2 linked regions of the Schizosaccharomyces pombe genome follow. The gene in region 2 interacts genetically with the main gene of each other region. Each region holds a gene or a part of one and is shown on either strand. Other genes may lie near its edges.

The links.
Region 1: of itr2 (region 2) and mug89, a mutation in one rescues a mutant of the other (synthetic rescue), as found in Schizosaccharomyces pombe (one large-scale study listed by BioGRID).

Annotation. Positions count from the first base shown.
Region 1 is NC_003423.3:303,415-308,860, forward strand, and holds mug89 (phospholipid-translocating ATPase complex Lem3 family subunit), read right to left. Parts: upstream 3,284-5,446; 5' UTR 3,078-3,283; coding exon 1,887-3,077; 3' UTR 501-1,886; downstream 1-500. Other genes in the region: asparagine--tRNA (Asn) ligase Nrs1, read right to left, coding at 1-274; SPOM_SPBC1773.12 (transcription factor), read left to right, coding at 4,746-5,446.
Region 2 is NC_003424.3:1,391,593-1,396,464, reverse strand, and holds itr2 (plasma membrane myo-inositol transmembrane transporter), read right to left. Parts: upstream 2,861-4,872; 5' UTR 2,570-2,860; coding exon 896-2,569; 3' UTR 645-895; downstream 1-644. Other genes in the region: cir2 (electron transfer flavoprotein-ubiquinone oxidoreductase), read left to right, coding at 1-440; SPOM_SPAC20G8.02 (DDHD family phospholipase), read right to left, coding at 3,555-4,872. UniProt on the Schizosaccharomyces pombe protein: Transporter for myo-inositol.

The sequences.
Region 1 (5,446 bases), on a different chromosome or scaffold from region 2:
CTTCAGCTGCCTTAGCCTTTTTCTTAGCGGCTTGTTCAACTCCCTTTTTCGCCTTCTTTAAAGCGTTGGTGGTTATAGGCTCAAACTCTTCACTGCCATTTTTTTTGACAAAGATCGTACAGTTGGCATCAGTTTCCAAAGCATGGATTGCAGTTTTAAATGGTGATGTTTGACTTCCGTTGCCAGTTTCATCATTACCGGAAGCTTCGTCTATATAAAAAACAACGTCTGATTTTATTTTCATATCAGAAACTTTTGATTCCAATCCCGCCATTTTTAAAAGGACAGTTTGAAGTTAGTGAAAATGTTAAATATCAAATAACCGGCCTTGGATAACTTATAGTCTCGTTAGAGTGTCTTATCTGCAAATCTACAACCCAGAACATTTGCTAAAGCGCGTTAATTTTTTTTTTGGCTAATGATTCCAAAATTTCGGCTAGTTGCTAATATTTGAAATATTAAGTACTTTTATTTAATTGTAAATTTACATTTCATTGTATCACATTAGTATGGTTATTGCTAATTCCCCAGTCGATTTGACATAGAGCAATTAATTGTCAACCCAGTGTGTATTCAATAGACTCCTCAAATAAGTTAACTACGAAAACTTCTTGTCAATAAGATATTGCTTCATTCCATATTGACTTATGGCTTCTCACGTTCTTAAATTAGTAAATCCAATGGGTAGAAAAAAAGTAAATTAGCTAAGGTTGTAATATTGTCAAAAGAAAAATTTACTTTGTGAAATATCTTTTTAAATTACAAGTGGATATTTTACATGTAGGGCAAGGTTAAAGAACACACTTCTCCATAAGTTAATTGCTAGCATAGTCTGTAGGAATAACCAAAATCGTCTTTTTCTGTTTTTGTTCTCGCTATACAGCCAAGCATGTGCTGACTTTTGTATATCGAGAGATGATTTTTTTTCGTAGTATTCCAATTAGACCTGTTGACATGATACAGTATGGCATGGTATAAATGTTCAATTCACGTATATCAATAAGCTTGCAAAATTCAGGTAGTAGTGATATTTACTTTACTTTTATCGCCATACCTATTGTAGACTGTCCTCAAATCACAACACTTCAATACACAAGTGCATTCTTTTACGCACCAGCATTTCCTTTTTACAACGCTTTTAATTTTAATTATACAAATGTCATAGTCAACAACGGCTTTAAACGGTTTGAACGACAAGAAATGGAGCAGCAGAGGAAAGCAAATAGCGGTTTAGTATAAAAGAAAAATGCAAAAATTTATGATTGTTACAAACAGCGTAATATTTTCATCAGTATGTTAAACCAAAGTATCATTAACAGGTATAGAGTTTCCAAAGTAAGCACGCATAACAATTTTATCCTAAAGAATAGCAGTTATGACCTGCTAGCACACTTCAGTAACAAATTCTGCTAATAATGCGAATTATTAATTGATAAAAAAAATCCGTATCTCAGTTTCATGAGACTAAAGAGAAAAGCGTAAAAGAATGAAATGTAAACGAATGGTACATGTAAAGGCATTCCAAAGATCTTTTGAATGATAAATTTAGTGTGTTACAATAAACTAATTTGAGTAGCAAAATATAAAACACATACTACCTTTGAAAAGCCAGTAATGAAGAAAATTAGGGGTCCATCAAAATACCTCAAAAGTCATATTTTAATGAAATTGAGTATAGCAAAAAGATGTAATATGAATGTCAGAATTAGCAATCGTAATCATCAAACCTAAAACAACATAGTTCTACCCTTTGATAAATAAAAGAAATCTAAAGACAACGGAAGGCGTAGAAAAAAAAAGAAGACAGAGAAAACTCCTTCTACTATGAGGAAACTAATTTTGCAATTACAACCCAGAGTTGTAAATAGTCGGCAATCGCGACAAACCTAAGGACGATCACTCAAATGGGGTGCTAAATTATTTTCTTCAGAATCCCAATTTAAATAACGATGATCGGCAAGCTTTCTTGGACGGATAAAATGCCTTAATGTAAAAACGGTACCTAACACAACACAAACAGCACTGACAACAATGTAAGCTATTCCAAGGAATGGATTCTTTCCTCCAAGCACCGATCTCGTCGTAAGAACCAGAGATTTGGTACCGTCAAAGCTCTTAACAGGAAAAAACAACCCAATTTTTATTTCGTATGTTCCTGGAAAAATATCGTCGTTATCGTTCCGCATAGCCAACTTACTGAAAGTAGGCAGACCAGCTGTACGCATCCAAACCTGTAAATTTTCCATAGTTGACAAATCTGGCATGTTTGATTCAGTATAACCATCAGGATAACGCAAAACCCAATTGGGAGGAGGTGCAACATCATCAGGACTGTAGTTTGTCTTCAAAAATCGTCTTTTATCTGAAGCCCAAGCTATATTTTTGGTAGAAAAAGTGTAAACACTATTATCATCCAGCAGTCTCAGTGACGAAAAAGTGTCATTGAAAAGAGAATTTGCAATCAAACCACATGGATAATATGGTTTGTCATCTTCGTTAACTTCCAAAGGAAAACAATTGCCTCCTTTAACTTCGTCAGCAGTTAAAGCCACTCCCTGTAGTTGTTTTTCATCTACACTTTTAGCATACCGTCGATGATTTTGAAAAAAATTTGTCAAACGGTAATATATGAAAATAGGCGCCTTTAAAACAGATGGGACTGTGAATCTTATGATGCAGTAGTTAACGTCCATATCTAGATCTTTATCGAGAATTTTCTCCAGTTTCCAGTAGGTTGATTCTTTGTCAAATCCAATAGTTCCTGATTGATCAAATGAAGCTGTGTACTTTTTGGAAGGGACGGCAGAGAATTCATCGTAAGAAGCCAGAGTCTCACAATCCGTATAATCAACAACTAGCTCTTGTACGATAGAGCTAGCATAAAGTAATCCTCCTCCTAATGGACCAAATATAATTCCTAACACAAAAAAAAGTGGAAGCACGATTTTAGGGGTTAACAATGGCTGCCAAGACTTGATCCTTTGTTGGCGAAAGGAAGTATTAGGAGGTGCTCTAGTTTTTGCTACAGGCCCATTTGATGCAGTGTCTGAAACATTTTCATTTAATGCTTCCGGCATAATTCTCAAAGGTCTTGAATTGATCGCTTTTTAAAAGCGAGCCCGTTAAAGTGATTAAAAACAATTTAAAAGTAATATTTTGGTGGTTTCTAGATGAAAATTATTGATTTTTTGTTTTAAAATAGGTCAAAAGGCAATAAAACAGCCTATAATGGATTAAAAAAGAGGATATTTGAAAGCCACGGATTTTTCTACGTTTGGCATTTAGTAAACACATAATCTGCAACGTACATATACAAAATTGCGTTAAATAATTACTCCGTATTCCTAATAGTGCTATAATTGACATTGCGAATATGGTACATTTCGCTATTCAAATTTAAAAAAAAATTCTATACAAAGCCAGTGAAGCAGTCATCTTTAAAAGGAAGAGCTATTATAAATACCTTCTTTAAAAATAGGGAAGAACATTTGTTGGTTAATGTATAGTAGTTATATTTCGGGACTATAAAATTATGATGTTCAATTAAAGGAAGTTTCAAAATTTTATAGACGATGGTTTTTCTGCTACAAATAATATTCAAAGTGATTCGTCGTAAAAATGTATACCTGATCGACTTGATTCTGTAGAGATAAGAAAAGAAAGTGTATTAATTATCTATTCTCTGTGGTTAACAAAAGAGGAGAAGTAAAATGCTTGAAATATATTTACGAGCTGGATAGGAAAATGTGCGCACTTTACCGGTAAAAATTGCCCAGCTAAAGAAACAAACAGTATTTGAAAATGACCACCTGCGTGGAGTCTAGTAAATTGCAAGAAAAGAAAAAAAGATTGGTGCCACACTAAGCTCATTTTTTCGAGACAACGTATCTAATGATACAGTATATGTAACTCTAATTATCATATACCTCTTTTGATGTTTGTTTTATGTTTTTTTAACTACCTGATTGAAAACCTCGGATGGTAGTAAATAATGCCTCAAAGTCGAAATCTCATTAGGCAATTAACTGGGATTCAACACATTTATTTAAATTAACATAAGTAAGCCTGGACATTGAAACATAGTGTTATTAATTAACGTACAAAAAATGTGAATGATTATGGCTCCTTCCAATATTTATTTCATGCCTTTAAAAATGAATTTCCGAGCTAAAATGAAAGTTGTTTGATATCAAGCAATTGTTAAAGATTTTTTCATTTAAGTAGTTGTTCGGAATAATTTGGTAGCATTCAAAAGTTTTGCTTCCCATTGCTTTCAGCTCCAAATCCTAACATTATCTTTTGATCCTATTCATTATATTAATATTCACATTTATTCTTTTTGATTAGACTTGTTTATTATCATTTTTTGGCTGTTTACCATGGTATTTATAATGATGAAGCTATGTTACTAATGGATTTTTGTAAGATCACATGAAGAACGGCAGGTTGAAATTGATACCAAGCAGTAAGGAACAATTCTCTCACCCATAAATTGGATTGATTATTTTGTTATCTGTCCCATTTAAGGAATGTTCATTTATTATCATGGCGCTCGCGTCATTGAAATATACTCGAAATTAAGCGAAAAAATCGATCGGCGATAATCATTGTTTACTATCAATGGCACAAAATTCCAAAATTGTATATATTGCAAGGTGCCCTGTACGAGTAGTTTCAAAAAAATTTAATATTCCAAAAAAACGCCTAAAAGACTGTGTTGTTGGAAGTTTTTAAATGTGCAAACAATGGTACCAATAAAAAAAATTAGCACAGCTTGCGACTTGTGCAGGCAAAGAAAACTTCGGTGTAACGGCGAATTGCCAAAATGCCAGAATTGTGTAGTGTACTCAGAAACGTGCAAGTATAATAAAAGAAAAAGAGTAAAGAAGCCAAACGTAGACAAGGATGACCCACATATCGTCGTCGGGCAGCCGCCTGTAAAGAAGTCAACAGCTGGTATTACTCGAGAGTACACCGAAATGATTGAACTGAGAAATCATATTATAACGTTAAGCAAAAGATCTGTTAATATGGAATCTCGGATTGACGATATGCTAAATTTGCTCAACTACGATCTGTCAGAAAAGAGAGAAACGTCGAACGAGATACCATCGCTTGTACAGCAAATTCAAAACTGCGGTTTTCTAATAGATGAAAAAATGAGAAGGTATCCAGGGATTTTCCAAATTCATCCCAAGGATTACACCATGAATGATCTGTTTCCTCAAAGTTTCCCTACATGGATTAGTGTATATCGCAATGTACCAGAAAAAGCATGGGCCAATCGGTGTGTTGAGTGGTATTTTCGCTATATAAATTCATGTTGGCCTTTATTTGATTTAGAAAATTTTATGGACCTTTTTGATAACTTTTATTCCGATAAAGAAAAAACAAAAGGTGCTTGGGTTGTCTCCTTCTATGCCATTATGGCTTTAGCGGTGTCCCG
Region 2 (4,872 bases):
CCGTGGAAGCATATGTACTGAAGGGTCGTGTCCCATGGACATTAAAGCATAAAGGAGGAGATGCAAAGGCTACAAAGTCTGCATCAAAATATAAACCTATCAATTATCCCAAACCGGATAACGTTCTTTCTTTCGATATTCCAACTTCGGTATCCCGTTCCGCAACAATGCATGCTGAAAACCAACCCTGTCACCTATTCGATCACCGTCCTAAAGACCGTAAATCATGTTTTGAAACATATAAGGGCGTTGAAAACAAATTCTGCCCTGCTGGGGTGTATGAATATGTTAATGATGAAGCTTCTTCATACGGTAAGCGTTTTGTCATAAACTCTCAAAATTGTGTCCATTGTAAGACATGTGACATTAAGGACCCTTTACAAGGTATTCAGTGGAAAACCCCTCAAGGAGGAGATGGCCCTAAATATACCTTGACCTAGTTTAAAATTTTCGGAATTTAAACGTTTGCAGCTTTTTTGACAAATTTAAAGAGTTGAAAGCTCTTCGTTTCTATCGTATATATTTTTAAATTTTTGTCGTTACCGAACATACGCGGTAAAAGCTTAGAAAAAATGACTTCACTGTAAGTTCATGTATTTAATATTGCAAAACACTTTGAAACACTGATTACATCGCTTTGATATACTCTAATCTAAAGAAATATTATTTAATTATAATTACTATGAATTGCTTAAAATAAGTAATTTTGAGTAGATTATTAAATAAAAACATCAATAATCGTAACAATTGGTGTGTAGATATTCTCATAAAAATGAAGATTTGGCTGTGATTATAAAATTTAATTTCTAAAGGGTACAAATGGAATATGCTTCATTTGTATTTTCCCAAGAAAACAAAGTAAACAAAGCTTTATAGGGGAAATGGGTATTTCATCTCAAGCTTCATCTATTCTTCCTTTTCTAACGCGTTTAGTACTTTCCTTTACAGCTTGCCAAAAACCTTTTTCAAGCAGCTTGTGTATATTTTCAATAGACATTCCTGCAAGTTCGGGATAAGTAAAGTAGCTTGTCACGAGTCCAACAAAACAAAATCCAGCAAACAATGCAAATGTACCCGTTGGTGTGATAGACTCCATCATTGTCAAAAAGGAAGCACTAATGATGAGATTTCCAACCCAGTTGATAGCAGTTGAGAATCCAGCACCAAGGGCTCTGACTTCCATAGGAAACAATTCGGCTTGTTGCCAGGGAATATTTCCGATTCCAGAAGCATAGCTAGCAAGGAAAATAATGATGGATGCTAATACGACATATTGCCAACCACTGTTTGTGTTTTGGGTGGTGTCTGCAGGAAGAAAATGATAAGCGATTGCACAAAGCGCCAAACCTGCAATCATCACGGCTGAAGTACAAAGCAAAATTCGTCTTCTTCCAATACGGTCAATAAACATGAATGCGACTATTGTGAAAACAAAGTTAGTAGCACCGACAACAATACTGACAGAGATAGAATTTTTAAATCCAACACTTTGGAAAATGATTGCAGAGAAATATTGAATTGCATTAGTGCCAGAAAATTGTTGGAACCATTGAAGGAAGCAACCAATAAAAAGGGATCTTCTATTTGAAGGAACCGTGAAAAGTACTTTTAAAGAATGAAAGAAATGTTGAAACTTATTCCCTTCAGGAAAATCAACTTTGACGCCCTCTTGAATCAATGAGACTTTATATGCAATTTCAGCTGGCTTTGCTTCGGGATGGATTCGAGACAAAATCTTGTAGACTTTTTCAACATGGTTATGTCTAAGCAAATACCTTGGAGACTCCGGAGTCCAGAAAAGCGAAATAAGCTGACCTAAGGCGGGGGCCGCACCAATTCCAAACATAATTCTCCAACCTTGATGTACATGTTCAAAAGCAGCATTAAGTGAGTAGGCAATCAGCTGCCCACCGGTAATGAAGACCACGTAAATGATGACAAGTCGTCCGCGCAAACGAGCAGGAGCCAACTCAGTAATATACATTGGGACAATAAGAGAAGTAAGACCAATTCCATAACCTACAATAAAACGACCAACAACCATCATTGCAACATTCCGCGAAGCAGCCATAATAACAGATCCGATGACAAAAATTGCATCTGCACATAGCAAAAGCCGTTTGCGACCGACCCAATCAGCAAGCCATCCTGAAGTGGTTGCAGATATAAGGGCGGCGAAGGAAGTGGCAGAGGTAATCAATTCTTTTTGGCCAGAGCTAAGGACGTGACCAAGATCGCTACCGAGGACAGCGAGAGCGCCTGAAATAACACCAGTGTCATAACCGAACAGCAAACCAGAAATACCTGCAACAGCCGACAGCACCCAAATCCAACTACTGATTTTTTCAGCTTCAAATCCTTCACCGTTTTCATCAGCGACCTCGTTGGCTTGTGGATCCGTTGCATTCGCTTCTTCCTCGTTCGGTAAAGAAGGGATTTCACGCATGTCCTCAGAAAAAGGAACCTTCTTCTTGGTTTCAGAAGGACGAGTGGTCATTTCCACGATAAAGTCTTTACCCTTATCATCGCTGGACTTAATGGTCGCAAGGGGAATATTGTTGAAATCCATTTGAGCCAGATACGAAATGCAATAGTTAAAGAACTATTATTCTAAAATTTAAAACTTTTACAAAATTAAACGACCGTGCTAATAAAGCACTTGGTAACCAAACAAGAGCTCCAAACTAAATCAGCATACAGTTTGTAAGGACAAGCCACAATAACCAACTTAATCTCAAATTTCAATCAAATAAAACAGTGTATCAACTAATTTAACACGTTTTATGACTTCTTAAAGTATTAAAAATGAAGAAATTGAGATTTGCCCGACTTTATACGCTTTTCGGAGTTGAGGTTCAGTAAATCAACTAAGCCATCGAGGGGTCTATATATATGTTCAAAAGGTGGGGAACAAAGAAACTCAACAAGGGTCCGAAAAAAGCAGCAAATTCGACAGCATGTCGTTATCGTTGTAAGAACGAATAGTACTTCTTCCAACGACTGAATGGCGTTGCGTTTGTTTAAGTTGTCTCTAACAGAAATACGAGATGGTCAACGTATATAGAAACTGGACTTTTTAAGAGTCCTTGGTAGTAGAAAAAAGCTTAATTTGCTATTTAGTGTTTTTTTTCTATCGCTACCTTTTTTTTTTACATTTTAATGCTAGAGGATGAGAAGGTGAAATTGATGTCCTGTTCTTGGAAAATTTTGCTATGAAACTAAAGCAACTACTATCAAAATGATATTGGAATGTTCTTTTTTACCCCAACTTTTGTACCTGCAAGCAGATGCCAAAGCTATAAAAGATTTATTGTTTTCGCATAAAAATTAGGAGGATTACTGTGTCAAATTTTATACAAGCAATCAATCTATCTACAAAGTCATGGGCGCTTTTAATAGCCTTCTCTCTTAAATCAATAGGTAAAATTTGTTTGGAAAGTTCATCTATTAAACTCATTTGAATTAGTCGTACATAAAAGGTAAAACATTAAAATAAAATTTAGATAAGAAAAGGAAGGAAAGAATGTTTACCATTGCATTAATTCGAAAAAGTATTAAAGTAATTGGGTTAGAATAAAATGAGCAAGATCAACATTTTTCCAATATTCAGAGTGAGCATTCATTGCTGAGACATAGCTATAAGAAGTATCTAGTGCACCTTCTTGTAGCATGAAGTCTATACGTCCCGTTTTGTTCAATCGATACATTCGCTCATCAATATGCCAATCCCGAATGTTTTCAGCTCCCTGTGATTCATCGTGAGAATCAGCGGTGGCCTCGTTAAACACAGAAGCATAACTCAATGATTTTAAGATTAGGGTATTAGCAATACCAGATCGAAGGCCAGAAAGAACATTCAGAGCACCACCGGCAATTTTATGCCCTACACCAGAACTTGAAAGGTCTTGATGAGGGCGAAAGTGAGAAATTTTCTGAGGTTTTAAGCGGGCCATTTGCTTAACCACCAATGGCTCTACACGATAACTGATGGGGTCAGTGGGATGAAATATATTATAGAAGTTTTGACAGCTAAGGATCGAGACACCCGAATCGAAACTTTGCTCAGAATAACTTAGACTGCGAGTCAAATTCGTTTTAGGAATAGGACCTGCAATTTTTTTACCATTCAGCATTTGAAATAATCCCAATGGGCTACCTAAGGCGAAAAAGTTTGCAACAGGAAAGTCAAGTTGCAGTTTTGAGTATTTGATATTTCCTTGGTAACGTATAATATCAAATAAAATTAGAGCCCCCAAGGAATGTCCAAGAAGTGAAACATGGCCATTAAATGAGGGGACATTTTTTTTGTACAGATTGTACAGACGATTCAGTCGCTTCACCACTGCTGCCAAAATTTTATCTCGATAATTTGGCTGACAATACAAGAGGACGTCTAGCAAAACATCCGAAATAATGTTTCGCAATCCAGTAACCGTAGGGATATTTATATTATCCAAAGTTGGAATGGAATCGTCTTCCAAATCGTCTAATGCAAGATCTCTAGACATGTTCAATGATTCATCATCATCGTCATCATCGTCCGCAAAAGACGAATCAAGGTCCCTTGCCATGCCAAATCTTATGTCTTGACGCCATAACAGAGGCAGACATTGAACACCGTTTCCACCTCCCTTCAGTTTGGGATACACAGCTTGCAGGTCTGGAGAAGAATTAAAGGTTTTTTTTAAAGTTTTACGAAAGTTACTAATATCCTTTACAAAACTGACAGTTTCCACACGTTCACCCATTTTTTGACCGATGCCATGACAGCACAATATTAGATGATTAACTTCCCGGTCGGGTCTTGACATTAAATGAGAGGCATCAGTCGCGGATGGAAGGTCTATCGTACTTTCGGTATTACTAGGTGTA